Linked DNA regions of Lepisosteus oculatus. The protein of the gene in region 1 purifies or fractionates together with the protein of each later gene. This does not show direct contact. Links are inferred from orthologs where the notes say so. Each region holds a gene or a part of one and is shown on either strand. Other genes may lie near its edges.

Evidence for each region.
Region 2: the proteins of wdr5 (region 1) and hdac1 purify together in Homo sapiens (affinity purification with mass spectrometry; 8 studies listed by BioGRID and IntAct, counting the BioPlex papers as one, with this or other methods). This does not show direct contact. The link is inferred for Lepisosteus oculatus from reciprocal best matches to the Homo sapiens genes WDR5 and HDAC1.
Region 3: the proteins of wdr5 (region 1) and histone deacetylase 2 purify together in Homo sapiens (affinity purification with mass spectrometry; 7 studies listed by BioGRID and IntAct, with this or other methods). This does not show direct contact. The link is inferred for Lepisosteus oculatus from reciprocal best matches to the Homo sapiens genes WDR5 and HDAC2.
Region 4: the proteins of wdr5 (region 1) and ruvbl2 purify together in Homo sapiens (affinity purification with mass spectrometry; 3 studies listed by BioGRID and IntAct, with this or other methods). This does not show direct contact. The link is inferred for Lepisosteus oculatus from reciprocal best matches to the Homo sapiens genes WDR5 and RUVBL2.

Annotation. Positions count from the first base shown.
Region 1 is NC_090719.1:7,051,085-7,058,854, reverse strand, and holds the start of wdr5 (WD repeat-containing protein 5), read left to right. Parts: upstream 1-4,767; 5' UTR 4,768-4,962; exon of another isoform or gene 4,963-4,966; intron 4,967-6,365; 5' UTR 6,366-6,426; coding exon 6,427-6,507; intron 6,508-7,770.
Region 2 is NC_090706.1:3,431,013-3,438,460, forward strand, and holds the start of hdac1 (histone deacetylase 1), read left to right. Parts: upstream 1-4,434; 5' UTR 4,435-4,497; coding exon 4,498-4,546; intron 4,547-6,594; coding exon 6,595-6,707; intron 6,708-7,374; coding exon 7,375-7,448. UniProt on the Homo sapiens protein: Histone deacetylase that catalyzes the deacetylation of lysine residues on the N-terminal part of the core histones (H2A, H2B, H3 and H4).
Region 3 is NC_090697.1:5,943,664-5,951,330, reverse strand, and holds the start of histone deacetylase 2, read left to right. Parts: upstream 1-4,636; 5' UTR 4,637-4,744; coding exon 4,745-4,799; intron 4,800-5,840; coding exon 5,841-5,953; intron 5,954-6,586; coding exon 6,587-6,704; intron 6,705-7,645; coding exon 7,646-7,667. UniProt on the Homo sapiens protein: Histone deacetylase that catalyzes the deacetylation of lysine residues on the N-terminal part of the core histones (H2A, H2B, H3 and H4).
Region 4 is NC_090721.1:2,744,397-2,751,901, forward strand, and holds the start of ruvbl2 (ruvB-like 2), read left to right. Parts: upstream 1-4,488; 5' UTR 4,489-4,582; coding exon 4,583-4,594; intron 4,595-6,116; coding exon 6,117-6,171; intron 6,172-7,121; coding exon 7,122-7,177; intron 7,178-7,505. UniProt on the Homo sapiens protein: Possesses single-stranded DNA-stimulated ATPase and ATP-dependent DNA helicase (5' to 3') activity; hexamerization is thought to be critical for ATP hydrolysis and adjacent subunits in the ring-like structure contribute to the ATPase activity.

The DNA.
Region 1 (7,770 bases):
AATCAAGGACTACAGCTTCCAACATGCAGTTGGCTGGTTAGCGGTGGTGTTTCTTGGCCCACTCAACAAAGCTTAGCGTCGTACTCTAGTTTGAGAAGAAGGAAAGATAGATTTTTTATTCTGCTTGAATAGTTTTTTTACGCAGATTACGCTGTATTGTAATCGGATGGTGTTATTGATTTTCGAGTCAAACGATCTGGTTGCTTCCTTCAAAGACATCGAGTTTATTTTGAAACTCGTGCTGAGCACCCTTACTCTCCTTCAGTCATTACCAAAACTAGTTTTGTGTAATTGCGAAGTTCGTATTCTCTGAGCTGTCAGTACTACAGGAAAGATCACTTCTGGACTCTAACAGTGGAATCGATAAAGTATTTAATATTGCAGTCATGGGATGCTGGATGTATATTTTTAATCGTGGAAAATGTTGTAATTGTTATGTTAATTTACCTTTTAACGTTAATCTTTTCAGGTATAAAACGATTTTTAAAGCATGGAGGAGAACGAGAAAAACGTGTTTGTGTGAGAACATAGTTTTCAGTTTATCAAAGTATTGACAGAATCTGTAGGATTTTTAAATGAACAATGAGTTTTCACCTCCTATACAAAAACATTGATGCAGAATGGCTTGTTAAGTGTTACAGTAATATGTTAACATTTTTGATATACCATGTGTTCAGCAAACAAAAAATATATATTACTCTAAGTGAAACTGTTGGTTAACAGCTTTAGTCCAAATGGGAAGCCTGACAGAAAAACTGGCTTAATAGACATTGGCTTCCAAATAGCAGATGGTAGACTGCTTGCAGTGTGACCACCTGTTCTTCATCTTGCTTGATGTGATTCTCGGTTCTTCATTTCTCCTTTTAAGTGGGTAATTTAAAAATAATTACCAATTGGCTTCTTGGACCAGTTGGGCTTGAAGAGGCATGAGACATCTTTTTACAGCCAATAAATCTACATGGTACCATACTTAGAATGCTCACAAAATTGGAGTCTGGTGTTCATATTTGCATTCCATGATGCATTAAACTTATTAACTCCAGTACTTTTGTACCCGTATAAGTAGTTTGTGTATTGAAAAAAAACGATATTCCAATGTTCCAATATTCCCTTGTTTAATTTTGCAATGCCTCTCAGTATATAGTGGTTCTATGTGCAGTGTTTACTGTCAGGGGACAAAATTAAAATATTTTTCTGTGTTCTTGCTCGTATTACTGAAAATTCACAGTTAAAATTATTTTTTATCATAAGAATATAAGAAAGGTTACAAACATGAAGGGTGGCTTGGTGGTGCCGTGTCTAGCATTGCTGCTTTGCAGTGCTTCATTCAGTGTTGCTCCAGATCGACAGAGCACCAATGTATGTTTTCCGCATGTTTACTCTGGGTAGGTTCCCACTGGGTGCTCTGGTTTTTTCCCACTATTCCAAAACATGCTAGGTTAACTGGCTTCTGATAAAGTTGGCCCTGCTGTCTGGACTGGCAACCAGTCTATGGTGTACTTTGCCTTGCACGTTGGTTGTTTGAGATCGGCTTTCCCCGACCCTGAATTGGATGAAGGGGTTAGAAAATGGATGGGTGGCTACAAACAAGAGGTCTGTCTAGCCCATTTGGTAAAGAGTAAATAATTGAACAAGAGACCTTATTCAGATTTTGCTTGAGAAAGAGCAAAGGTTCTGGCTTCAAAAACCTTTTGTTTTGGACACTCTGCAATATGGGCCTGTCCCATCGGCCAATCTGCATGTATTCAGCAATACTTCATACTTCATCTTCTATAATAATATTTGATTCCCTTCTTGGTTTTTGCATTGCCTTGAAGATAATGAACAGATTCGATTGAAGTATTCAGAATGGTCCAAGTTACTGACTTCCTCAGGGAAACATAAATAGGAGGAGGAGACAGGATGGTATACATAGAACTGAGAACTATGTATATCAAACAAAACAGGACTGATTGTGCCTTTCTTCAAAAATCTGCAGGACAAGGTCCTCATATCAATCACCAACCAACAAACAAACATTCAAGATGACTTTGTCTCCATTCAAATATTTCTTGTGTTCTGTGTTTTTTCCAATGTAGTCTGTTCTCAAACAGTGGCGGTTTATGATTTCAGCACTTTCCAGCTCATAAAGTTTCAATTGGTCATCAGCAGTCTACCACAAAATATAGTGGTCTGTACAGGTACTGTCAATAATGAGTCATGCAGGGTCCTTCAATGTATATAAAGGGAGAGGAGGTAAGATAATAGCAAAGCTATTGGATTTTTTTTTACGAGAGGAAAAGAGGCACAAGCAAGAAACATTGTTTCTTATAGCTGTTCTTTATGGTGTAATCTAATCTTGCTAAATAATATTTAGTTTGTCTTGGTCAATGGTTTTGGGTTAAGAAATTTAGATTTAAAATGTGTGCTGCTTTAGGTATTCAGATGACAAAGCGAACGGTCATAACATTGGCCAGTGATGTATACCTAATTTGACAAAGATTTAATACTGTGTCAAGATTATCATAGAGCCAATACTCGAAGAACCACACACCCAAAGGACAAGGATTCCTTCAAAAGGAGTCCAGATTAAGTCATTAATAACTGTATATGGTACATATATTTCAGAACATTTAAACAGTCAACATAAAACTAGTCTAAGTCTTATTTGAAATGTGTAAAACAAATAGAACATCTCTAATAGGTCCTTATAGCTAAACTATATCTGATAAAACTGCCAGAATTTGTTGCATGTAGTGCACTCAGAGGAGCTGTAGGAACTAAGAGCAACATGAGATGGAGAAACTGGTAAGGCCTTCATTCAGAGTCGCTCCAGATCAACAGAGCACCAATGTAGAGAAGTTGTCAGAGAGCAGGTGGTCCCAGACTGTGAAAGATTAAAGAATACTACATTCCTACCCAATACTCCTACCTAACATGACGTTGCCAAATAAAATGATTCCACTTGAGGATCTGGAAACAGGCAGGGAAGTTGAGTCTTTGAAACTCAAGGCTGTAGTTCCTAGAGTTCTGTCATCACAGACATATCAGCCATGACAATTCCAGTCAGCGTCAGGAAAAATACAAGAAAAAGAGAAGGGTTGATTGTTGGAGACTGTGTTCTCATGAACACTGCAAATGAAACCTCACATAAACAGCAGTGTGCTATAACACTAATTTCAAGGCTACCAGATGGGCATCTAGCAAGGACAGGTGAGCACCCAGTGGCTATTACTCATATTGAGACAGATGACATTAGCATAAGTAGCACAATTCTTCTATGGATCAAATTGAAATAGAATTTCTTAACTAGTCATGTCCAATACCATAATCATGTTATGTTTTTGAAACATTTACTCTTTGATGGGCTTTTTGGCAGATCTGTAGGTTTCCTGAATCTCACTGTATAATCTCCCAATAGACAATACTGTATATAGCCCATAGGTAATCACTTTGACAAATATCAATAAAGTTAAGGACAAAACTGTGGGCAGCACAATGGCACAATAGCTAGTTTTGCTGCCTTGTAGCACTGGGGCCTGGGTTAAAATCCTGGGGTGCTAACTATGTGGAGTTTGTATGTTCTCGCTGTGTTTGTGTGGGTTTCCTCTGGGTGTTCTGGTTTGTGTGTGTCTGGCCTGCAAATGGTCTCCTGCAACCCCGTGAAGAAAATAGATGTGTGAAATTCTCATCTTTTTTTCCCATAAACCATGATTTAAATAGATAGAAGAGCAGGTGAGTAACAGGATCAACACACTTTATTTCTTCAAACTAGTAGCCTCATCTAATACATCACGTTAGATTTTAGGAAAGTATCGTTGCAGGTTTGAGCACACAATATTAGAATACACAAAACGTGCCATATCATTCCCCTGACAAACTATACTGGAGTGTGCAGTTTACACTTTTTTGAGCTTCAAATCTATTTTTAATGCATGTTTCTCATGTATAATGTATGTATTCATACAGAAACAGCAGATATAGATTTGGCACAAAAATGTACTCAAGGAGTCACCAAGATGAAATCGTTGACCATTTGTAAAATGTGTTTTAAGATATGAATTGGCAAGTTCACTTTTTCGCATGATAAGGATATATATAAGTAAAGTGCAAACTGTCTCAAATTAAATGGTACTGGAGCTCAGCTCCAGTTCAAATTAAGCGTAGAGGATTATATCTGAATGAAAAGGGTACAGATTGTTTTGATTCATAGTAATTTACATTACAATTGCAAGGGGGAGAATTTAAAGAAGAAAAAAAGATACATGGAAAGTAAAGATAAACAACTTGAGTGTTTGTACCTAAATGCAAGGAGTGTTAGGAGAAAAATAAAGAAAACAGAAGCTAAAACATTAGCAGGTGACAACAATGTTACAGGTACCAGAAAGAAGAATTCTGGTGAAGAATTAAAACACAAGAAGATACAGGATAAATGAAAGAGTTGGGGAGGTAATATTATGGTAATAATATACATCATGAATGTTCAGGCACAGGAATTAATCAAAAGTCTCAAAACAAATGTGGGTCAGACATAATGTTATTCAGAGGGAACAGTGCTAAGAGTTTGTCACATACAACCAAAATAAGCTTTCAATTAATAATATAGTCTTATGTAATGAAATCAGGAATGTGTATAAAAAGAAAGAAGTGCAAGATCCTACAACTTCACACATGGGTTATTTTCCCAGCTTTCTCGTCCTTCACTAAATTTACCTCGGCAAAGTTACTCGCCACTTTTGTCCCTTCCTGTTTGCCGTAAATATAGTACATGTTCATGCGTGCGGACATGCGCACTGTGCGTCTGTCGCCACATTCCCCGCCTGAGCTCTGAAGCCAACAAGCTGCAGCTTCTTCATTGCAACAGAAAGAGAAGAAGGACAATATTCCAGTTATTGTTCAAAAGGGAGGGTTCGCAAGGCGAACCAAGACGTCGATTTGGTGACAAAACGAACGGTGACCGTAAAGACGACCTTTGAGAGGCGAGTAGGTGCGCATTTTTTATTGTTTGAATGGAAGGAGTAGAATATGCATGTGCAAAGAAAGGAAAAAAAATCCTGAATGATTTGGTTTTAACGCAGACTGGGGGGATGGGTTGCAGACGTGGAAATGCAGTGGTCTGAGATTTTTAGACGCGAAGCTAAAATCGCAGTGTAAAAATGTGCTCGAACGGTGTGATCAAGGAAGCATGTCTGGTTTTGAGTGATGCTTTGGCGTTTTCTGTGCCAGGCCGCAGTAACTGATTAAGTAGTTTAACCTATAATCTTAGTTTTTTTAAGACTTCAGTAGTTGCTTGTGAGTAAGAGAAGCCTTATGTGTTTTTGATTAGTGGACTTTTTTATATTAAAAAAAAACAGAACGGAGTACCCGGTTTATAGCCTACGGTAGTCCTGTTGTTGTAGATGGGCAGGTAAATTATGAATTACGACGACTCTTACTGTCGTACTCCAGTACTGCAGCCTGTCGCCTGAATGCCAATTTGAAGTGAACAGATTTAAGGTTAGTTGCTACATTAGGTAACAATTCTGTTCTGAAGGTTCCAATTCGTGCCATTTAAGGTGTTGTTTTAAAGGATTTCACCTACCTTTCTGCTGAAGTCCCTCCTAAGGTAAACTTTAACCGTATATAGATTCCGGTTTGGTGAAATCTTCACCCGTAACGTTTTGATTTGATCACGCTTCATACAGGTGGCATTCACAAAAAAGATGAATGTCAAATAATGTAGTTTAGGTACGTAGATTTATATACTGTATTATTTATGTGAAGACATGTCATTCATGCTCATTTTTATCTCTTCCGCATAACAGCGAAGCTGAAACGTTCCTTAGTGTATTAGCTTCTTATTTATGTTGTGAAATACAACAAGCAGGATCAGTAACCTTAAATTGACCTGCTAGCCTTATTTAGGTCTCAGTACCATAAGCATTACAACCTTGGTTCAGTTTGTTTTTAAACCAACCAGCTTAATGACTGATGGCCATTGATTTCTGTGACTTACAGAAAATAATTAACCATATTTATCATCATCAGTTATCATGTCCAGTTGAAAGGCCTGGCCCCACAAAAGATTTTAAATCTATTTCATAGCATCTTTCTGTATTAGAACTTTGCAGTGTACAAAATGTACAAATGTTACAACAGACCTTTAAAATGGAATACAATTTTATAAAGAACATTCAATGCTTGAATTAAAAATATCTGTATAAGACATATTAATTTTGAAGATTCATGTTTTGGAAACAAAAATGTTTTGAAAATGAAGCTGTTTCAATTACAAGTAATGGGCAAATGAAATAAGAATTATGTGTCTTTTGGTGTGTGTTGTTGGTTTTGGTGTATGTTTTTTTTTTACTAAATGGGCGCAAACAACAAGCTTCTATTATTTTTAGTTGTGATCGTCTGGCTGCTCTGGCACCTATTCCGAAGATCTGATTCACTTGCTCAGTAACCATGGCAACAGAGGAGAAGAAACCAGAAACTGAAGCCACTAAAACACAGTCTGCTTCATCAGCATCTGCTAGTCAGAGCAAGGTAGGAGGGGCCAGAATGCATACTCTTTTTTGGCGGGTGGGAGTTGTCAGTTTCATTTGAATTGATGAGTCTGTTTTGACTGTAAATATGTATTTAACTCTACTTATTTTCCCCTCCATTTTAGATAAGTATAGATTTGTTGTACAGAGGTTAAATGATTCCTTAAAATGACCCCCTTTGTAAGCATTCTAAATGTATTGAGTTGATTTTTTAATTTCCTCAGTGTTGGATCTTGTAGATTAACTGCAATTTGAATTTCAGGTCAGCAGCATGTCCAAATATTGCATTAACTCATTTGAAATATTGTAAACTTATTTTACACAGCAAATGTAAGATTTGATCCTATATATTATTCACACCCTTTGGATTTCAAGTAAATTAGTATCTTTGCTATTAATATACTAAAGTGTAAATGATTTAGGAATGTAGTTAGCTGTTTACATAGCTTGCTGGTGAATAGTCTCTTTGCCATAGACATTTTAATGAGCTAAAGAGTATAAATGTTAATTTTTACTTGCTTACAGGAAAATGTCTATTGTTGTGACACAGTTGTGGTCAGAAATTCCACAAATTATTATTGTATGCTCAATTTCTGTAGAAAGTTTGTTTCAGAGAAGCATATTTTTCATATGATCTAAAATCTATAAGAAATTCTGCAAAAACAGTAACGTTACAAGTTATAATTATTATTTTAGCCTTTTTATTACAGATTAAAATCATATTCTGTATCGTGACAGCAGTAGTCCTTTGATTTGATCCATGTATGTTTAAATTCATTTATATACTGATGTCAGCTGTTGTTCAAGGAAGAAGCTTATTGCCTTGTGTGCAGTTTGATCAGTGTGGCAAAAGTATTTGTTTGGATGCAGTGTTTTATAGCGATTTTTTTAGAAATTTAGAATTGCCAGTTTTGCTATACTTGCAGTTTTGGTTATTCCAAATTGTGTGTTGTTTTACATCTGGGCTCACCCCTACTTACCTTGCCACTGCACAAGGGAGAATGATGAAGTATAAGCTGAGTCCTCTGACCTGTCTGAGTAAAAAAAAAACATTAAAAACGTTTTTTTTGAATATGTCACAGGCACACCGCCCTCTACTCTTTAGGCTCAGTGCCGATTGGAAGAGAGGCACCTTGACCAAAGCTTGACAGCAAGCACCCGAGTGCCTGCAGGGGTCACGGAGAACTGAGAGCCCTGACCGATTTACTCTCTGCTTACACTTAGCAATGCTTAGCCCCTGTTCACAGCCAGCCTATGACGAGAC
Region 2 (7,448 bases), on another chromosome or scaffold:
ATTTTGTTGTTTTTTTCACTCCCGCCCGAAGGGAAATTGAAGGAAAAAACTTCATTCCCGTTTGTAAACCACAAGTTTTCACTGTCTCCAAAAGCGTTAGTGTTAATACTATCGCAGAGTATTTAGGATTACATTTACTTTTTTGTTTTTACTGGCATTTTTGATTATAGAAATATTCATATGTTGGATTACAGCTATACTGTTACCAACCTTTGTGCTTAGATGTCTCATGGTCTTGCTTTTTCTGTAACACATTGGCACATAATGCCTCTGTGTTTGTGTATCCAAATAATTATCAAATAAAATATTAGGAAATAAATGTCTCTGTGCAATAAACATATTTGTGACTGTACCAGGTGTCACTCGAACTGTTATGCAGAAACGGAGCTCGTTAAGAAACTACATAGGACAATATTTTCATCGGATTAATTTTTAAAAGAAGAAAACTTGTAGTTGGAATTGTAGAGACGTCAGTGCAATGAGAGTTGCTCACTGTTCAAAACATAGGAATAAAATGAGTTTCCGGAGAAGCAGTTAATTTCAGCGTATGTGGCACAGCACCAAACACATGGACCCTTAAGGCGCTGTCATTAATCATCACATAGGTACACCAAGACGTTCACTGAAGGGCCGACTGCTGTTTTTCTTATGTGCTTTCGAACACTAACAACAGCACGCTGTGATTTCACGTGGATCTGGAAGTAAAAGAACTCGGAGACGTTGTGTCAAGTATCTAGTCTGACCCCCACGTTGACACCACCAACCCACACAACCCCTTGGTCCCGATCTGCAGGGTCTAGACGGGTGTCAAGTCCACTTCAGTGAAAGGCGAGCTTTGCGACCCCGAGGACAAGACGTGGCCGCTCTGGGGAGTCACGTCACTATTGTAAGCGGCTGATGTTCTAGGTATATATGCTGTGCAGTCGTGGGGACGTACTTTTTCTCTCTAGAAGGCGGGCGCGTTACAGCCACTCACCAGACCGTTTCGGTAGCGCAACACCTGTCCGCCGCCGGCGGCTCCTTCTCACGATCATGTGCCGTTATAATGGAGAAGAATAAACGACGGAGGCAGAATACTCTTCCCTCGGAAGTACAAATCGATGACCTTAACTCCTCAGATCGCTTAAACGCTTACTCTCTCAGCAGCCCGCCTGAACCTCTCTTCTCGTTCCTGTGCCGTCACAACGACCTTTCACCCTCTCGCCTGTGAAACGCATCATTATTTTTAAAACTCAAAACTCTTAACATTTACTAAATTATGTTTTACACTAGATTATATGTTGCACTGTTTACAGCCTCATCTTGCATTGCATGATCTGTTGCGGTTTTAAGCAAGCTGGAGATACGTTGCTGATGAGATGACCAATGGCTATGTCAAAATGCTGCGGTAGAACCAGTATACCAATTGCAATAGAAATGCAGCAGTATTTATTATTAGAATTAGAAACATAGAGGTGTAAAAATACGTTTTAAGAGACGATGGGAGTGCCGATCGACTCTGAAGAGCTGACATGGGTTGGAAGATCATTCCACAGTCCTGGAGCAAAGGAGCTCAGTTTCCCAGAGTTATCCAGGAATTGGAGCCTTGTTTTGGAAACTAAAAGAAGGTCAGAGTCCGAGGAGCTCAAACGACTTACAGACGCAGCCAGGAGCTAAACCACTCAAGCCCCAAAAAGTAAGCAGCAGCATTTCAATTATCTTCAGAAATCGGCAGGGAGCCAGTGCGTGGAAGCTAAGGTCTGTATTTTAATTTTAATTCAGGGTCTGAACAGCTTCATTCTGAAGATATTACAGGTTGTTGAGAAAATGTTTGGATGCAGCAGAATGCACGACACTATAAACAAGTCTGGAAAAGACAACAGCGTGCATTAGCTGCTCTGTATCAGATCGAGAGAGATGCACACGAGGAAAGAGACACTTTCATAACATGAACTTCAGATGCGTCAAAGACGAATTCAGGTCTGCCGAACTGAGCACTTGAACGGGTTCCAGGACAGGTCAATGTGAAGCTGCTGCAGTGGTCGAGCCCATGAGGATGAGCCTATCAGCAAATTCTGAGGGCAGAGCTGTGGCTCTGTGGCTCGGGATCTGCGCCTGTGGCTGGAAGGTTTCTGGTTCATATCCCATGACTGGCAGAGGAATCCAGTGCTGTTTGGCCCCTGAGCAAGGCCCTTCACCCCAACTGCTCCAGGGGTGCTGTATAAAATGGCTGACCCTGCGCTCTGACCCCAAACTTCTCATGGAGAGCAAGCTGGGGTATGTGAAAAGACAAATTCCTAATAAAATAAATTGTATATGGCCAATAAAGTATTCTAAAACAAAACCTGTCAGAGTCCAGATAGTCACCCCATTTGCTCCTGCCCGACCTTGAGGCATCATCATAGGGTTGTTTATCTACATCACTTCTGTGAACGTTCCTCACCTTTTCTCCCTCATACACTGCTCTGGTACTTCCGCTCCTGTGCAGGATGTTGAGGCACCAGTAGCCTCTGTTCACAGCGGTTACGCGGAAGATTTATTATTGTAGTAGTAGTAGGAAGAAGACAAAGGGGCAGATGCAGAGCCAGTCAAATAAAAGCCCTTCTGAAGGAGAAGATGCTGAGTCTGGGTGTGAAAGGGCTCAGGGAAGGGGACTCTCTGACATCCTTGGGGACAGAATTCCAGAGCTTCAGGGCAAAGCAGGAGAAGGCCCTGTCACCCACAATATGTACACGGGCTTGGAAACGGACAGGAGACCAGAATTAAGACAAATAAAGGTTGCGAGGCGGGAAGGGGGAAGATGAGAAGTCAGACATTTCCTGAGGTGCCAAGCCGTGTAGAGTCGTATAGGTGAGCACGAGGATTTTGAAGTTGATATTGTGGTGCCCTCGCCTGGCTAAAGTGTGCGATGAAGGGCAGGACGGGAATAACAGCCAGGGCAGGGACTAGGGATTACACAACACCCTCTACCTCCAGGCAATGAGGCTGCTAAATAGCCAAGCAGCAGCTCCTTCAGCAGATCACCCGGAATGGCTACATGGACACACAGTTTTCATTGTATTCGGCATACTGCACTACTTTGATATAATGTACTGCATACACCCTGGGCACATCGCAGCTCTATTTATATATAATATCATAATTTATATTATATTTAATGCGATTTCTATTGCACTATTATAATGTAACCTTATTTTGTAACTTTAATTTTGTGATTTTTAAACCCTCCCCCCCCCCCAGTGAGCTCGTAGAAAAGACATTTCATTGCCAGCAACTACTGCTGCATGCTGTATTGTTGTGCATTTGATGAATAAACTTTGATTGATTGATTGATTGATTGATTGATAGGGGGCCTCGGGCCAGCGCCGCTGACCATCCGGAACGGCTGTACACTGTGTGAAATCACTGTAAAATAGTTATTCCCCAGTTCTGAACCCCTTTTATACCTGTGCCCACTGACCACCCTATAACTACCCACGTACCTGTACCTGAAATGACCCCCGTGTGGTGTAACCTGCTTTGTCGTGCTTTAGCTCTTGTGTGGTTGTTGCTGAACTGGACAGCCATTCGACTAACAAAGCGCTGACTGTTTGTGCTAAAAGAGCCTGAGTTCTCGTCTCCATCCTTGCCAAGCCCTTCGTGTTACAATATAGAGAGAAAATATTGTGGTCCAACATACGACACTGATTTTTTTTTTATCTAAACAGTTATTTAATTAGTAAAACATTAATTGAGATACACCCCAAGATTTAACCCAATAGCCTTCAGTCCAGAGTCTGGGGCCCAAATAGTAACCTCTTATTTAGATTAGTATACCACACATCAGGTGACTTTCCAAGCAATGCCATAGTGAAGCCAACAGAAAATTATTTGGAACTTTCATGTCACTCAAAAGTAATATTTAACAAGTGACACTGGGTATTTTGTGATATTACTAACCAGTCATTACAAACACCAGTTCCAAGCCTAAAAAATAAGGCTGGCTTTCTGCACGTAGCTACCTGGTTCATACCATGAACGTAGCGCAATGTAAAAACAGTATTAAGTGACCCCTTAAAACGAATTAGCGCCAAAAATATAAACTTATCTTATCATATAAATATTTTTAAATTTATTTTGGTCTAATTCGATTTTATTGTTACCCCTGCCGCCCTGGACACTAAACCACAATGGTACAGTCCTGAAGTAAAAATGAGATTTCCGAATATTGGACATTTTGAAACTGGGGCCATTTTGGATCCCACGGAGAACACCGCTTTAGGGTTGAACTGGACGGATAACCGGAGCCAAGATGGCGCTCAAAGAAACACAGTTTCATACCCTTGTTTATCTTCTGTAGAGGGGCGGATAACCCATTCGCCTGCGAAGGACGCGATTGGACAAAAGGGGGAAAGACGGCCGCCCGCTACGGTCCGAGCTAGTCTCTGATTGGCTCCAGCGGTGTCAATCCAGGTTCCCGGTTGTGGCTAGGGCTGCGTAGCGCCCGGTAGACAGGCCGTGGCTGTGTCTGGAGGTAAAATGGCGCTGACTCAAGGAACAAAGAAAAAAGTTTGTTATTATTATGACGGTAAGGGTAAAGTTTAAGTTGTATTTTCCTAAAACCCGGCCGGCGTAACGTGCACGCACGGAGATATTCGCCGGGAGGGCTGCGTTTATCGTCTCTTTTAAAGCCTTTTTTTGGGGGGAGGAGGAGGGGGGGGTGAGTCCGCCGGCCAAGCGCTCATAGAGCCATGCAGCATCTCGTACCCCCTCCTTCCCGCAGTAAGAGGGCTGCCGGGCAACGTAGTTAAAATCATGGCCAGGATAAGTTGAAGCGGGGTCTAAATTTGAATTATCGATGCACAGTGGTCTCCGGCGGCTTTTCCAGCGTTTGCATGCTGGTTTTCTTCCCCCCCAGTCCCGCGTCATACTGGCCATCATAATAATCCCGAAGTCGCCCGTCTCCCCCCGGCGACCGGGTTACCTGAGTCGGTAAAAAGACGGGCTGCTGCGTCCCTTTTATTTATTTATTTTTACCGCCCCGGAGGGGTCGACATGCCGCACACCCGGGGAGTGAAAAAAGAGGCTTAATTATTGATGCTGTGCGGGGTTTTTTTTGTTTTGTTTTTTGTTTTTTCCCCGGCGGTGGATGCAGCCGCTGTGAATCGATTTGCAGCGGGGCGGCGGGATGCGTCAAGGCGGGGGAGCGAGGTCTTCCTCTCCCTTGTGCTCGTTTGACACCAGCCCCCCCCCCCCCCTCTAGACAGGGCTGAAGTGGCCCCTCCATCAGGCATCTCCCCGCCGGAGAGGGGCTCCTGCGTGGGCTCGCTGTGTGGGGGCGCCTTGCCCCCTCGGCCCTGTCGCCCGGTGTGGCTTGACACGCACGGACCGCCATGGGTGGACTCGCTCCTCCGAGCCTGTAATAGTCATGCCAGGGCAGCTGGCCTTGCAACCACCGAGCAACAGCAAGTTGCTTAAATCGTTCCTTTAGTTTCTCCAAAGATGCACCTTTTTTTTTATCTCGGGAGGTTGGTTCGTTTTTATGGCAATAATACAGAACATGCACAATGAGAGGGGCAGTAAAGTCTGTAGGAGCAGAGGGGTGAAGATCAGAGCCAGTTCAGAAAAAGGCTCTTCTGAAGAAGCAGGTTTTTAGCAGTTTGCTGAGGGGTGTAAGAGAACAAAAAAACGATCAGTAAAATCTTCAGGCAGCAGTCTGGTTAGGATCCATCGCATTAATAAACACGCAAAGATTGTGGTATGTACCTTGTGTTGCTTATAACTATTCCTGATACTAACCCAGCACCTTTTTGGAGGGTGCACCTATCTTTTTAAGAGCAGTGTTTTGCCTTTCTTTGAGCACAGATGATAAGTGTACACAGAGGTGGTAGTTTGATGTCCTCTGAGGGTTTAGCTTGTGTCATATGTACGATCGTGGTGCTGACTGTAAAACTTGTGGCGCTTGGTTAATTCTGAACGTTGCCATAAAATGTAGGTTTTGGTCCAGTGGAGTTCATCGTGGATACATTATAAACGAAGGCCGATCTGCCCATCTAGTCCTTTCTCTGGTTGGTAGCTAATTGATCCAATGTCCTTATTCAGCTGTTTCTTGAAAGAAACCAGGGTTTCGGCATCAGCAGTATGACTTGGTAGCTTGTTGTGCACTCCCACAACTCTTGATGTAAAGTAAGACAGCCTCCTATCTGAGTTTGCTATGCACTTCCGCGTGTGACCTCTGGGTGGTGTTTCACTGCTCATTTTGAAGATGTCCTTTAGGATGATGGTGTCAGTGCCTTTGAGTATATTCAGCCTTTGATTCGAGTACAGTAGTGTTCTCTGTTCAAGACAGGTTTTTTTTATCGTCATGTATTCATTTGTGGTAGTGCTCTAAGCTCGTAAAACTTTATTTGTGGTTTTAATTACTGTTCTCAGTGTATGGTCTGTAACGTTTTCTGGTCCTCCAACATACCAGTGTTCATCTCCTAGATCGTTTCAAAGTAGATACATTTGTTTGACTGGCACATTGTTGAGGAATCTGGATTTTGAAGATGAATGCTTTTGTTTATGTTGCTGTTGGTTTCGCGAATGCCAAAGCAATTCTAATGCAGCTCCTTCCCATCTTCCCTGCCCTCGTAGGGGATGTTGGGAACTATTACTACGGTCAGGGTCACCCCATGAAGCCACACCGAATCCGGATGACCCACAACTTGCTCCTGAACTATGGGCTGTACAGGAAGATGGAAATTTATGTAAGTACGAGAGTGTTTCTCTCTCTCTCTTTTACTCTCAGGATAATGTTGCTGCATGCATTAGTAACTTATAAACCCTGTCCCGTCCCTGTTCCAGTTGTGCCAGTTGTGTGTTTATTTAGGGTTTCTGTTTGTGCTCCGGTAATGAGATAGGAATAAATAATATGGTGAAGTATTAAAATATTTGCCAAACAGACCTCAAACTACAGGGTTTTCGAGGGAGCAAATTGTAGTGGCTGTCCATGATGCCTTGTTAAAAGAGTAAATAATCTGGTACTGTTGTCATGTTCAAGCATTCATAGTGTTCCCATGATGCCTCTTTAGGTTTAGTTATTTGTTATGTTCAATATTCATCATGTGTATCTTTTTCACTCACTGATGACCATCAATGTTCCTCAGTTGCGAGAGTTTCATAAAGTTTCAGACTTGGTATTTAATCTTATGTATGTTTTTTTTTTATTTCTTAATGGACTAAATGTAACACAAAGAGTACCTCCTTTTATTTGGCAGGAAAGCACGTTTCCCATCTGGGACACCGAAGGAAGTAAGGGAAGGCTGTTGACATGGATGGGCTGCAAGGGTCCTGGTCCCAGGACGACCCTGTCGGGATTTTGGGAAGTGCGGCTTCTTTCCGTGTGTTCACGTTCCCGTTCCCCTGTCTCCTTAGCGTCCGCACAAGGCGAACGCCGAGGAGATGACCAAGTACCACAGCGACGACTACATCAAGTTCCTGAGGTCGAT
Region 3 (7,667 bases), on another chromosome or scaffold:
AAAAAATGCAAATTAAATGTGTTACAGCAGGATTAATAACTCTTCTCATACTGGATTTTATCTCAAGCTATCCATGGCAATTCACAAAGGTTCTCTATTATGGGCCTCCTGTTGATAAATATTAATCATCTAGAAATTTCAGGATGGCAGGCACTGACACAAGTTCATAATTGCATGTATGATGTTAGTGACAAGAATGTTTCAGGTTTGCCTTCCCCAAAGATCAAAATCTATTAATCAGCAGTTTATGTGTCAGGAAATATCTAAAAACCTTCTATTACTGTCATTTAAAAGATTGCTTGGATTGCTTAAATTGCACAAATTGCATAATTTCTTAAGAGTTTGATTATTGGTTTTCTTGTTGAAATTGTGGATGGGCCCATAAGAAGTTTACCTAGTTTTTTTATAAATCATTTTATACACATGTATATTATAACTTTATATTATAAAAATCACAGGAAAAAAATAACAAAGTAAAGTTTTAATGACACCTGACACTTCCATTACTGCTGAATAATTTATGTTTGTGTGACCTAAATTTAAGTTGGCTCATTTTTTTTTCTGTCCTGGAGTTTGAAAACGTTGTAAAAACAATGAACTGATACTATTTTTACTCAAAAGAAAAATGTGTGCTGCCACTTTTTTGTCATTATGACAAAGGCTAAATTGGGCAGTTAGTGACACGGTGGTTAACGTTGTTCTTCGCAGTGTTGGGTTCAATTCCAGAGCTGAGGTGCTGTCGGCATGGAGTTTGTATGTAATTCCCTGAATTTGCATGGGTTTTCACTGCTCACTTCAGTTTCTTCCCACAATCCGAAGACATACCCTATCTAAACGAACTGGTGTGGTGTGTCTGTGTTTGTGTCTGTCTGCACTGTAATGGACTGGCATGTCATCCAGGTTTGCTTCCTGGGATAGGCTCTGACACCCCAGTGACCTTCAATTGGATCAAATGGATGGATGTCTTCATGTAAAATCCAGATTTTGCAGGAAAAATAAAATATGCAAGAAACTTAAATTCAATCAATTTAATATAATGTGATTTCCTAGAAACTGCTAAACTGCATATGCAATAAGCATGTTGCTCTTTTAGGAATATAAATTTATAGGTTTTAATAGCAAATACCATTGAAAAAGAACTCTCCCCATATTATACTGTGTTCATGCAGGTATTCAAAGACTTCAACCTTTTGTGGTCCCTTTTCCATATCTGTGCTTTTCAAAGACTTAACCTGTGACTTGATTTGAAAGTGCTTTAGTTTTCATGGTTGAGTCTTTGCCTGAAATTCACTACGTGGCCAAATGCACGTTTTCTGAAACCATTAATTACTGTAGGTGGCTCGCGCAGGTACAGTAATACTGTGCATGTAAATTCATTTCCATTTGCACAGGAAAGGGTTTGAATCTTATGCTATCATCACCTTTCCATTTTTCATTCATATTAATTATAAAGTTACTTATTTGTTTTTGCTTAGAATGTGTGGAGTAGGTCGTGTATATAACAAATATTAATTGTTACTTTTAGGCTTTAAAGCAACAAAATCTGAAAACTGTGCCAAGCACTGTATGCTGATGTGTAATCCAATTAGATTAGTGTTTGTGCAGAAATTAGAAAGCAAAATATAACAAGTATTGGTTAGCTCTTTGCTGAAAAGTATAAAGCAAATATTTTCTTAGTTTCTTTCTTTTGAATGGAATCAATCTCTCTTTCTTCCTTTGTAGTTTGCATGGTACAGAATTAATTTAATTTTCATGATGTTTCTGCTTCTTATAGACACAGTAATATTTCTATAGAGAACTGAATTTCCCATCCAAGAATGTAGTTATATCCAGACTGGTTAATGATATACCAGTATATGCATGAAACTTGTCATATTAAGATTAACAAGATGACACAAAATGATAAGATTAACAAGTTGGTAAAAAGCAGTTGAACGTCAAATAGGGAACAATGAAGGTTATGTTTTTTGGTTTGCATGTCTTATACTAAATTGGATACAGTTCAAGGATAACATTCTATTCCTTTCTATTTTTTGCTACTTACTAAAGTACAAATGTAGGGAAGGTTGTAATGTTTCACTGAAAATTCACAGGAAAAATGTCAACAAAGTAATTGTATGTTTTTCTGAAGGTCTCTTTTTCTTTGAATTATGTCAGCTTCCATCACAGAAAGAAGCAGAATAATTTACTGTATATTCTGGTATCGCATGGCCTGATGTAAATCTAACTTAAAAATAAGAGACCCATGGGTGCCAAGTTATAATTAGTCAATGATATTCTGAAGTTTACATTGATATTTTAGTCCTGCTACGTATTGGGCTTAGTATTTAGTCATAGGACAAAGTATCTTACTGAGGCAGTTACCCAGAGGGACAGGGAAAAATTTTATTAAAGTGTTTTTACTGAAAAGAGGAAAAATGAGTCTAATGACTATCACACAGCGCAGATAAAGTGCAGCCTCCAACTACAAACTGATGTCTAGAAAACCATTATACAGTACAATACGTAATGACTCTGTGTTCCCATATACAGAACCTGCAGCTCTCACAGAAATTGAAAAGTATTATTTTTCCAGCTTTCCTTCATGCTTTAAAAGATGTTTAATCAGTAAAGCAGTTCTGTATTTTTCATTATGACATAAATGATCACAATGAAGGTTAGCTGTATGTTGAGATTAATACACAAAGTCCTAGAGGCAGGTTCAATAATTTAACCCTAACTATATTTCTTATGAGCCCCTTTGTTGGATCATGTGCTTTTTGAGAAAGCTATCCTGCACCATTTGAAATGAGTTTCTCAGCATTTATATTCCATTCAGGCACACTAGGCTCATAGCTCCTCTCTACACCAGGACTGATATTTCAGAATGAAGGTTTCTCATTTTTATTTCACTGTGGGAATCAATAATGGATTAGTGAATTAATAGACCTAATGCAACGACTTTTGTTATCTGGTGCACCATACCAGGGCATCCGTGTGGAGGTCTCAGATTAACAGGAAACATGCACGGGCCTACAGGCTTAAAGTATGAAGAGTCATTGATCGATTCCATTTTCTCAGGGAAAGAAAAAGAACTAAAGCTTTTGAACAACTGGCAGCCAATCAGTACCCATTTTAATAGTAAAGCAAAACCTACTGAAGCTCCTTCCAGGGAGCCCTGACTGACTTTTCCATTCCCTGTCTAGAGTCTGACAAGTTCTATAGAGAACTGTGAAACTACATGAACAGACAGCTCTGGAATCAAGAGGTATCCCTGGTAAGGGGAGACATTTAGAAACTTGGTATCATTTATCCAAGGAATACTCAAGTTTGAAGCACTTGCATTTGTACAGTACTAGGTACTCATACACAGTATTTTATAGATTATGTCAGGAAACCTGAACCCTAACCCTGGAAAGCCCCAGTCCTGTATTTTTAAAAAATTCTCTAAAGCATTTTTGGCATAGACCAGACATATTAAGCAATGAAATGAGTAATTTGTGAAGCTGAGGGAACACCTGTCCTTGAGGACTGAAAATGTAAGTTCCTACTGATCTATAAATTATTTCACGTAACAAAGAAGTAATTACAGTTGATCACAAGTCATTGTGCCAAGCTTTTAGACATCAGTGATTGAAGGGTTTCCTATAAAACCCCAATCAATTGAACAGAAGAACATGTGAAAGGTTATAGCAAGAGGAGGCTGTCTGGTCCGTCTAGCCTGTTAGGTTGTTGGTAACTAATTGCTCCAGAGGTCTCATCCAAAAGTTTCTTGCAAGAAACCAGAGTATCAGCTTCAACAACATGGTTTGGTAGCCTGTTCCAGACTCCAAAGGAATGATTTCTGTTTTAGGTTTTGAAGGCACTTCACCACAGTTTCATCTTGTGTCATCTGATCCGTTTTACTATTCCTTTCGAAGAAACCATCTGTGTTGATTTTAGCTATAAATCAAAAGATAAATACCATAAGATTATAGGCAAATCGCTTCACTCTCACTGATTGGTTTCCGATTCCCAGATGATTTCACTACTAAATACAATGAGAACAGTAAAAAAAAAAAGATATCAGAATTCAGATCGGATGCGCTGTGTTAACTTGGCTTTGCACTTTCACACATCTTTATTACTGCACTGCTAAGTAACAAAGGCCTGACCCTTGAATATTGCTCTCATCATTTTAACAACAGCTATCCCAGTTGTATTAGAATCATCAAACACTTTTTATAACATTTTTATAGAAGACACTTAAATTGCCATTCAAGAAGCTAACTCTTTACATTTTACTTTTTTTTTTGGTACAGACGGATACTTTATTTCTGTTAGTACAGTACTTCAAAAACATGACCGGTATAGATCACATTTATTCATATATTGGATATAGTGCTTTGTCCTGCTGACGACGGCATAACTGGTATCTAAAATTATTTCTGTTCGTGTTAGTAGCCTCACACAACCCTGGATCAGAAGTGGCTTCACCATCTACAAATGATCAGCGAGATACCAATAAATAATATATTGTTTTACTTCAATGATTGACGCACTAAGGCCCGTCGGTGTTACAGAGTGTGTTGATGGACAGCTGGAATATTTCCGTCTTCTTTATTCAGTCCGATGCTCGGCGCTGGATATAAGACACCCCCACCACCACACGGCCCACCTCTTTCTCGTCAGTGTACCGCCCCGCTCCCCGTCTTTCCTTATCTCTCCGCCGAAAATATAACCAGCTTCCGTCGACCCGACATCACCTTTCGATCAGAGAGTAATCATGGCATATACCCTCCAAGGCGGTTTAAAGAAGAAAGTCTGCTACTATTATGACGGTACGAGACCCTGCAGTCCTGTTCCTGCTTTGCAGTTATTATTTATACAATAGACGACGGGGGTGACGCTCACAATGAGAGAGGGGCCGAGTGAAGACGAGAGGGACAAGAGACGGGTGGCCGGGTTTAGTGTGTCTAAATGTAACGCAAAATGTAAAATCGTGTCTCGCAGCTGATATTTCTTTTTACATCGACTGTAACCGCATAATTGAAAGTTACAACGCGTTTGAAACTGATTTTACGTTGAACCCCCGAGAGTCGATGCGAACATTTCGCGTACCTCAGCCGTAATAATACACAGAAACATCACGCACGATGGCCACTGCGCAGCAGTTGTGCGTTTATAATTTCTGTTTTAAAAGTTGTTGTTTGTTTTTTTGGAGGGGGGGGGGTTAGGTTAGCGAGGTGTCCCGACTGCAGTGCTGAATCAAATTAAATACTCAGAAGTTGTTCATTGCCGCCAAGGCCTAGTGGCGACGGGAACAAAACAAAACCATACACTGCGCATGTCCGCCTTCATCCAAAACAAAACCGTCTCCTTCCGTCGTCAGAGCCATTAGCGCTGTTTTCTTTACAGATTTAGTAGGTATCGCCCGTTTTCTTTATAGACGCCACGGAAAATGTAGCTATCGCTACTCACCAGCACCAAAACGGTTACACTATCCCGCGTATATTTGCTTTCTTTAATACCTGCCTACGTGTGATTAAACTGCAAGCGGATTGTGCTTCTCTAAAGTACGTTGACGCCAGGACATGTGGCCTCCTCGCGTTATGGAAATGAGCCCGACGCAAAAAAACAACAACAACAAAACAATCTTCATCGTTTAATTTGTAATTATTGCGTCTCTTAAGTGAAGATTTGTTTGCCAAAATGTAAATGTGGACTTAAGTCCACAGCAGGAAAAGGTGTCCCTTAACATCTTAGAAATAAATGGCACTGAATGGTTTATTAATAAAAGAGTTTTGTATTTCTTTCAATACGAAGAATTTGAATAAGTCATGCCCAGTTTTGTCTGTTAACCTTTACTTTTTATTATTCAGGTGACATTGGAAACTATTATTATGGACAGGGGCATCCCATGAAACCTCACAGAATTCGCATGACCCACAACTTGCTTTTAAACTATGGGCTTTACAGGAAAATGGAAATCTATGTAAGTCTTGAAGTGTAATGACAGATTACACTTCCGCTGAACATGTGTCTGTTGCATTGCTGTCTTTAAGTGTTTGCCAAGCATCGCTTCACAAGTCAGCATTATTGCCATTTCACTTATCTACAGTGTGCATTTTATTCAATTTGCATGTTGTTGTACCTGTTGTTTCCTTCCTACTTACAGGTCATTTAAACTTTGTATTACAATGAAAATTCACCTTAGAACAGGGCACCTGCTAAACAGAGAAATACCTCTATGATTAGTTATCATGCAGACACTAAAGCAGAGGACTGATGTACTTTAGCCACGGAAGCAGTATGTGAAAATGCTCTTATTCCGCTCAGTGTGTAGGTTCATAGTGTAATATATCTGGACTCTTTTTTCTTAGGATAGCAAAATTCTTTATGAAAGTAAGCAATAGAATAAATAAATAAGGGAGCATTAGTACTATTTGATCAGTTGTAAATACATTATAATGTAGATTTAAATATTGGCATTTTAATATATTTATTATATACATAGTTATATTGTTCCTGTATGTATGATACTAAAATGCCATTGGGATATTTATTTCTTGTTTCTGTCTTGTGTTTAACTCTGTTGATTGGATTATGTTCATTTTTGTGTCTGCAGAGACCTCATAAGGCCACAGCTGAAGAAATGACAAAGTACCACAGTGATGATTACATCAAGTTCCTCAGATCAATCAGAACAGAAAACATGTCTGAATTCAGCAAACAAATGCAAAGATGTGAGCATTGCAACTTTTCAGACAGTTTGAGATCTTGTCTAATCAAACACTTCACTGTAGATTAATTGCAAAACTTATGTAAGAATCTGTTAAATCTGTTTTACAGATGTTGTTTTTTTCTAGCGCCTGACTAGGAATACAATACTAATTAAAAAAGACCTTACTGAGTTAATTACTTATTTTTGGTTAGCTTACCATTTTTGTCTTTATATCACAAATCATACCTAATTTATAATTATAAAGTAATTATGTAAAGCAGCTAAACCATATAGAATATAGATTTTTAAATACATCACTGGCTGTCATTTTACCTGGACATATCACGTTTATGGTATCATTAACGTGAAGAAAACGACAGTTGAAACAACTGTTTCTCCTGTCTGGTTCTCTGGTTGATTGTTTTTGATAGATATTTAGCAGATAGTATTTCTGTAGATTCATCTGTTAAATTGGTTTTGCTGTCCAATAACGGAGAATGTTCAGGGACGATAATATAAAGAAAGAAGGCATCCAGCTCAGTTATTAACCAAATAATTGTTTTTAAACAAGATCTTGCTGCTTCAAGTATTGGTGAGGCTGCAAGACTTGTTTTGCTAGATGCTATTAATATTCTCAGAATTAAAAATAATCAGTGGTTTACAAAATGTACTGTACAGTACATTGGTTGTAGTTAAGATGTAAAAATAAAAAATGGAAATTGGGGACTATTATACTATTAATTGCAATACTGTTTATATATTATAACCTGAGTGACTGATATGACCACATGTGCGTGGACGTCCATTTGTCTTTGACGAACACGTCTGAAATGTTAGTAGATGTTTATCATTCTGGGTATTCAGAGTTATCTGTACTATTTATAGGATGACAGTGTGAGCTATTAAGGCATGATCTGTTTAACTATTAACCTCCCGAAATGTATGCGTCGCATTCTTTTATAGTCAATGTTGGGGAAGACTGTCC
Region 4 (7,505 bases), on another chromosome or scaffold:
CTGCTCCTTTATTGATCATTCTGCTCCTTATTTAGATGTTCAAGTAGTTGCAGCACGCTTGAGTAATGGTGCTGACTAAAACAATGCAAGTTGAATAGCCCAGTCTGACAGAAATCCAAATATTGCTTGGATATATGCTTCTTTTACTTTTAAAAATGGGGAAAATTTATTTAAATTTAATTTTGTATGCAGGTTATGGGAAATGCAGAGGTTGTGTACTTACAGCTCATCAAAAAATAAATATTTTACAATATAAGTACATGCAAAAACGTTTTCTTGATATAGAGCTCACAAGGACTGCCAGGACTAATGTAGACTGTACAGTATAAGAGGTCTTGGCGATTAATGCACCAGTTTGGTGACAGGGGACACTGCAGGTCTCAAGTGCCATCCATCAGAAGAGACATTAAACTGAACTGCTGACTGCTTGGTCATTTGACCTCTCCCAGCACTGCGTCCAAGTCTTTAGCTATTGAGCAGTGGTGTGGCTGTGCTGGCTACCCATCGCGAGAGCACAGCCCTGCCAGGACCACATTCACCAGGTTCCTCTGGTCACCTGACCAGCTGCCGGAAGTTAATTGGTTGGTCAGGCGACTGTTTAAAAAGCAAGAACCAGAAGCTTCCATGTCTTCCAGAAGCCAAATGCTCCTGTCATGCCTGCAGGCTGAGGGGCAGAGGGAAGGACTGACTGGTGTACTCACTGTGGAGCTACAGTCTATGGTGGTAAGCAAGGGGCACAAGGCAGGATGGACCCTGGACAGATCAGTCACAGGGCAATTTCCCCAGAAGCCTGTTAAGCTGCCAGTATGCCTTTGGACTGCGGGAGGAATCTGGAGCACCTGAAGGACGCTTACATGAACATGGGGAAACATGCAGACTCCACACAGAGAGCACCCCAGCTCTGGAATTGAACCCAGGGCCCCAGCGCTGTGAGGCAGCAATGCTCACTGCTGCACCACCATGGTGCCACAGTAGATGATCACTGTTAGAAAACATACTATAACATCTTTATCTCCTAAACTGCGACAGTTAAATAAGATGATTACTAGTCATTCTCACATCTAGTCACCTGGGAAGGAGTGTTGAGTAGTGGGAAAGACTAGGAAATCGCAGGTAAAAGTCTGTGTGTTCAAACCTCTTGAGCAATATATATTCTTTATGGTGCAAACTAACAGCTGTATTCAGTAAATGGGGACAAATTGAAGTTGCTTTGGAATAAAAGCATCAGCCACCAAAGCAGTAACTTAAAACCCACTCAGGAGCTCTGTGCTGAGAGCTAGTTTCTAGTACGTGTCATGGAGAAAGATCAAAACCTTCTTCCACAGCTGCACTACAACAGGCCCTAAAAAGGGCTTCTGTCCTTCTTCCCTGTGGTGACAGATTTCAGTTCAATCAAGTCTTCAACTCGGCAGCTCTGCTCTCACTTTGACAGAAAGCAGCCCTGTAACCTCCTTTGAACTATCAAAACATTCCTGGCTGAGTGGCTCTTCAGGAATAGGACTGCATTTCCCTCTTAATATCCTGTGCAAAAGGAACATTATGTCAGTGGTGCTGTCTATCTTTATCCTGTCTTGCACAGTCTTTAAAAAGCGAGACACACTAGTATTCAGAACTGAGGCACGATCCAACGCAAAAAAAACAAACAGTAAAATGATCAATTGGGAGCTTGCAATTCTCCTTGAAACTCAACATTTTGAATTGATTTGGAGCTGATGGACAGTGCTTATTGTTTAAATTGTTAAATTTGTATTGAGAAAGAAGAGGCTAACATGAACTGCGTCCTTATATGCAAAGTGCAGTTATTTAGAAATTAGACAGCTTTGGAAACAAGAACAACAATCACATTGCTATGACACTGCTTTTGCTGATACATTAACTAATAACCCACCTATTATTATAAACATGGCTCCCTGGTAGCCCTGGGTTCATTTCCTGGGGTGCTATCTGGATGGAGTTTGCATACTCGCCCCGTGTTTGTGTGATTTGATAAACAAGTATTCGATCACTCATCTTCTCTTACACTGTCCATTAAGTAACAAAAAAACGTAACTTAATGTAACCAACTCGTTACATGTTTTACCACGGCTTCTCCCCTGTGTGGGTAAGCTGGTGTCTTATGAGATGCTCTTCCCGCACTGGGTGCAGCAGTTCGGCGTCTCTCCCGTATCAGTGCGCTGGTGTTCCTTGAGGGCACCCGACTCGCTGTATCTCTTTCCGCACTCGGAGCATTGTTCAAGACTAAAAACACTGTGGACAGGCAGCATAGTAACGAGAGAAGCTGCCTGTATTACCGCCTGAAGCCACACGAGGGCATCAATGTCCCCCAAAATGAAATGTCTTGATTGCTTCCCAGCTATGCCCGCATGGAGAAGTTCACACGTGGAATTCTTAAAAAAATGACTACAGGTCTCCCTCATCCTAAATAATTAAAAATCCAGATGGCAATGCTGAAGAACAGTTTTTTTGTAACCCGGAAACTAAAATACAGTATTAGAAATCTTAATGGACTGTTCAAACTCCACGTAATATTACAAATATTCAAGCAGTAAGCCTTTATTGCTTCTCCAGCATGTTCAGAAAAGAAAAACGTCAACCCGGACGCCTTTAGCCTCTATAGGTAGTTCAACCTCAGCATTTCTCATCTCTTATACAGTACTTCACGTTTTTGCTACTTGAATTGTTTACTGAAGAAAAGTCCCATACCAGGTTTATGCCCAATACTTAACGTTATTTATAGCTGTGAATTGCTCTTGCATCGCTTGCGGAGTTACTCCTGTTAATTATAAAATCTGAATATCTGTCAGTTTTTATTAAAGACTAAGCTATACATTCTTATAACCGATCAGTCACAAATGTTAAATGTACCAATAAAAACACAGTTTATCCGTGTGTCATTTATTTCTATATTTTAAACCCGGTTCATGCATGTAGTAAGGCATCATGATTATGATTTCTGCTTCTGCCAAAAATACTCACCAGTAATGGAGCGTCGTCATGTGCGGACTCTTGTGGCCCGGCAATACGGTGTGTTCAATATTTGCACGGTGCAAATCCTCACTACTTTCACTTCCTGCCTGGCTCTTGCATACCGTGGTTTTCTCTTTCGGCAAGCGGTAATGCAAATCGAGCCCGTGGACTCAGGTAGCCTCTTCCTGGATAAACTACTGCGGCTGTGTTACCTGAATACGTAAAATGCAGTCGGTTAACAATTCCTTCCGAAATATGGATACGTAGCACGGAAAAGTGAAACGCATACCCAACCTAAAACTGCGGCATGTGTTTTTTTTTGTCAGTGACACCAGCTTCTCGATTTCTGCCATAGTTAGCTGGAACACGGCACAAAAATCACACATTTGTGATGCCCGAAAGTTTTGTAGAATCGCGGATTATTCAAGGAGACGGGCAATCTAAAAAATCTCAGCAATAATAAAAAAAAACAACTTTTTGTGAACGTACATAAGCTTTAACTTTAGTATTCACATTTCAGAAAAATGTTGCATTTCCTTTTTTTCCCATCAGTACATATACATCTCCCCGTGAGTTGGAACAAAAGCAAAATACAAAACTCTAAATGCATTCAAACACCCCAAATCAAAGGAGTTTTTTTTATGTTGGTTTTACTACAGATAAATTCTCAACTTTTAACTACGTTTCTTTTGAAGGGGCAATATCCAGCTGTATTAATTATTAACCTTATTAACAACTATTTGTGTTCAATGGCAGTGTACGAATACGGTTTGAAAGTGCATCCTTACTGCTACAGATGTGAAAAATCAGAACCTACTTTATTGTCCACATATAATGGAGTTCCCAAAACATCCAGTGGTTTTTACGAAAATATACAATCAATGTAATATTAATAACAATACAATACATAAACAAAACATAAGTACAAAACCATAAGAGTAGAGAGTGAATATTAAGATTAATATAAGTCTAAACTGCATGCATATATACGCTCTGAAGGGGCTCATACATTAGGGTTTAAAAGAGTGAAGGCACTCGGAATTAATAACTTCTTTTAAATGTTTTTTGTAACCTTTGATACTCTGAAACGCCGTCCGGAAGATATATTGTTTTAAATTGGCAGTGTAGTGGATGTGAGGCATAATTTGTTACTAAAATAATAATAAATGCTTTCCTTTGAACGCTTCTAGTATAGATATGGTTGAGCAGGTTCTGTGTCTGAACACTAATGTTGCTGCCTGTGTTTATTATACTTGAGAGCTTGGCGCTACACCTTACATCGGATTCCTACACCAAGTGGGGATCTTAAAAGAGGGCGCTCTGTCTGTACCAGACTTGAGTAGGTGAGCTTTGGGATGTGTTTGCGTCCAGAGACTGCTAATATTTGTTAAGATAAATAAATCTGTAATCATTAATTTCTTAATCACATGTATATAACTATATATTTCGGACTCATTCTATTTTTCTTCACTTGATTTTTTAAAACTTCTTCAGACAAGAGGATCCACACGTTCACACAGTTATTCAACCGGAACACTTACTCAACTCCGTTGTTGTTTCCACATCGGGAGGATTTGAGAGGCGCGACCAGACGAACGGCCGCATTTTCGAAAAGATGGCAGCGCAGGTGAGTAACATGCTTATAAAAAGAGAAGCTTACAAGTGTCCGTTGCCTTTTGAGTTAAAAAAAGTGTCTCTAGAAAGGAGTAGATTTAAAGCCATCGTACTATTATGAGTTGCTTTTTCAAAATATGGCTTTTATTAAGTTCAACCCAGAGATGAGGATGAGTTGAATCTACCCGCGAGAGCATGTAAATCGCCGCCTAACCAACAGCCCACTAGAAAACAGTATAAATACGATACTTGTTAAGCTCGTACGTGTCTACTCATAACGTACCGTATATCAGAGTGGATGATTAGGTTTTCAATTATTTGTTGGCCACACTGGAATGAGCAATTCGGCCATATTGATTGTTGCCGGTGTAATTTCATCCCGAGTGGTTACAGAATAGTGGCGGCAATGTTTCTGCGTTTATACTTTTCTGTAGACCGAGGTCAGTTGTTATTTCGTTAAAATACTGTTCTGTACTCCAAGGTTTAGCTGATTTGGGGAGAGTGTAGCCGCATGTTAGTTTAATACAACAGTACAATATTCTTTTAACATGTAAACTTGATAATCACGTGTTTCTACCAAAAATGTGGCAAAAGCGCTCCAAAATATAACCGCCTAGTTAGATATATTAGTATTTATTTTGACACAAAAATAAAACAATCTCTATGGTTGTATTTGAACCCTACGTTTTACTTTTGACGTTCCCCAGAGTAGCTCCCATAGCAACGTCCAGGAAAGCCAAATCACTATGGCAACAGTGCAGGCTTCAGTTTGGACTCTCGGCCTTGTTTACTGTTAGACTCGTCATTTATATTATAGGTTACTGTTTATGCTGTCTTAATGGGATTAAGTCAAAGCAGATCAAATGACAATTCTGTTTTTTTCTTACATAAATGTTTAGAATGAGTTCTAGTCTTCCTAGGTTGTAAGTGAAAAGCAAGTACTCCTGTCTTTAGTGTTAGTGGTCATGTTGTAGAGCTTCTAACTTGATCACAATTCAAGGTGCAGACTGCCAAATGACATGCAGAGAACTTTGCAAAAGCCAAAGGTTTTTTTACTGTCATTTTAAGTTTTATAATGGACAATACATAATGTAGGTGTCTGAGCAATAAAGAAAACAATGTGTATGTGTATGGGCGTGTTCAGTTATGTGTCTATTTTAAAATTGCATTATATTATATGTTTTTGTTTGGGATGTTTTTCCTCTTTTTTTAAGTACCGGAGGATAATTAGCTACTATTAATATTCAGAGATGTGTTATTCTTCTTCACTTATTTATATTAAATCCAGGCCCTTATAAAGCAAAACAAAGTGGCTGGGCACTGTGCATTTCCTTCTTAAGCAGGACAATTTTCTTTGGCATATTGTAAAAACATCTTGAAAGAACCAGACATCTAAAGAAGTAGCTCCCATTGAGGTTCAGAGATATGTTAGATATCAAGCCACTTTTTTCACGTATACAGAGAACAACTAACTTTCAGCAGAAGGACTGATTTGCATAAATGTATGAGTTAGTAATACTCTGTTATTCTTGTAGATGGCGACAACAAAGGTTCCTGAGGTGCGTGACATCACCAGGATTGAGAGAATTGGTAAGTCTTTAGAAGTTTTCGATGAATAATTGAGCTAGAGTATGAAGGTGTATGTAAAATGTCACAAACCATGAGAAAGTAAGCAGCTGGCCCCATAGTTAAAACACAGTTGGCGGGTGATGTTAAAGAGCAGTGGTGCACAGTTCTGATCCTGGGAGAACACTTTGTGTGCTAGTGTTCATTCCAGTACAGCTCTCCAGTAGTGCTCATTGATGACTTAATGGAGCCGCTTACTTTTTAAAAACTTTTAACATGTTTCTTTGGTCAGTCCTGTGTTTCAGAAATATACCCTGTATATTTTGCCATCGGCCTACAGAGCTTTAAGCACCCTCTCCTAAACTTACTTTCCATTAGTTATGACTAAACAGTTCTTACGTGTTGAACAATTGATGAACAGATACGCCCATTGTAAGCCTTTTTTCCTCATGCAGAGGTCCTATTGGTCACATGTAAGCCAAATCATCTGAATTACAATGTCAATCCCATTTGACCTTTTACAAGTTATTAAAGACAGATTTATTAATATACCACAGACTGAGATCAATTAGCCTTTGCTTAGGAGCACAACTTTAGGATAAACCAGAATATTCAAAGCTCCTTCAGGACTAGGGTTAGGAACCACTGCTGTAAAGTACTGATATTCACTCCTGGTCATGCAAGGCTACAGATTGGGATGATTTTCATCCCAATCTGGACTATTTGATTTGAATCATTTATTTATATAATTAGTCTGTATTAACACTGGTTCCCAGTCTTTTTGTTTTTACTCATTGAGGATTGTGAGTTATCTTTAAAACCTGGTGTACTGTGCCCCCCCAGGAACTGGAGTCAATAGTGCTCCTGTAGAGTTATTTGCAACTGTGCAGTGATTGCAGTCCTTATATCCAACTTGTGCTGCATAAATACCTTTAGAGTGATAAGAGGACCAATGGTATGGTCATTTTCCCTAGGGGCGCACTCTCATATCCGAGGACTGGGGTTGGATGATGCTTTGGAGCCTCGACAGGTAAGTTGTATCATAGCATGTGGGATTTAGAAACTGAAGCATGTGCTTTGGAATGAAGCAAGTGAGCACTGTAAAGCACAGATATTGAGTGGTTATTCTAATGATACTGGTAAAAAACTGTTTAATTCTTTTGGCATCTTGCGGAATTCTCTTAGCAAAACACATCTTTTCTTCATTTTCTGCCCAAGTTAATTTTCTTTTAGTGCTGTTGTCACACTGCAACATAAACCGTGTTATAATAACCCATTTAATCTCATAATAATCTGGTATAGGTTTTAATCTGTCACCCATATGTAAAAAAATAAATTCAATCTATAATGTACTTTTT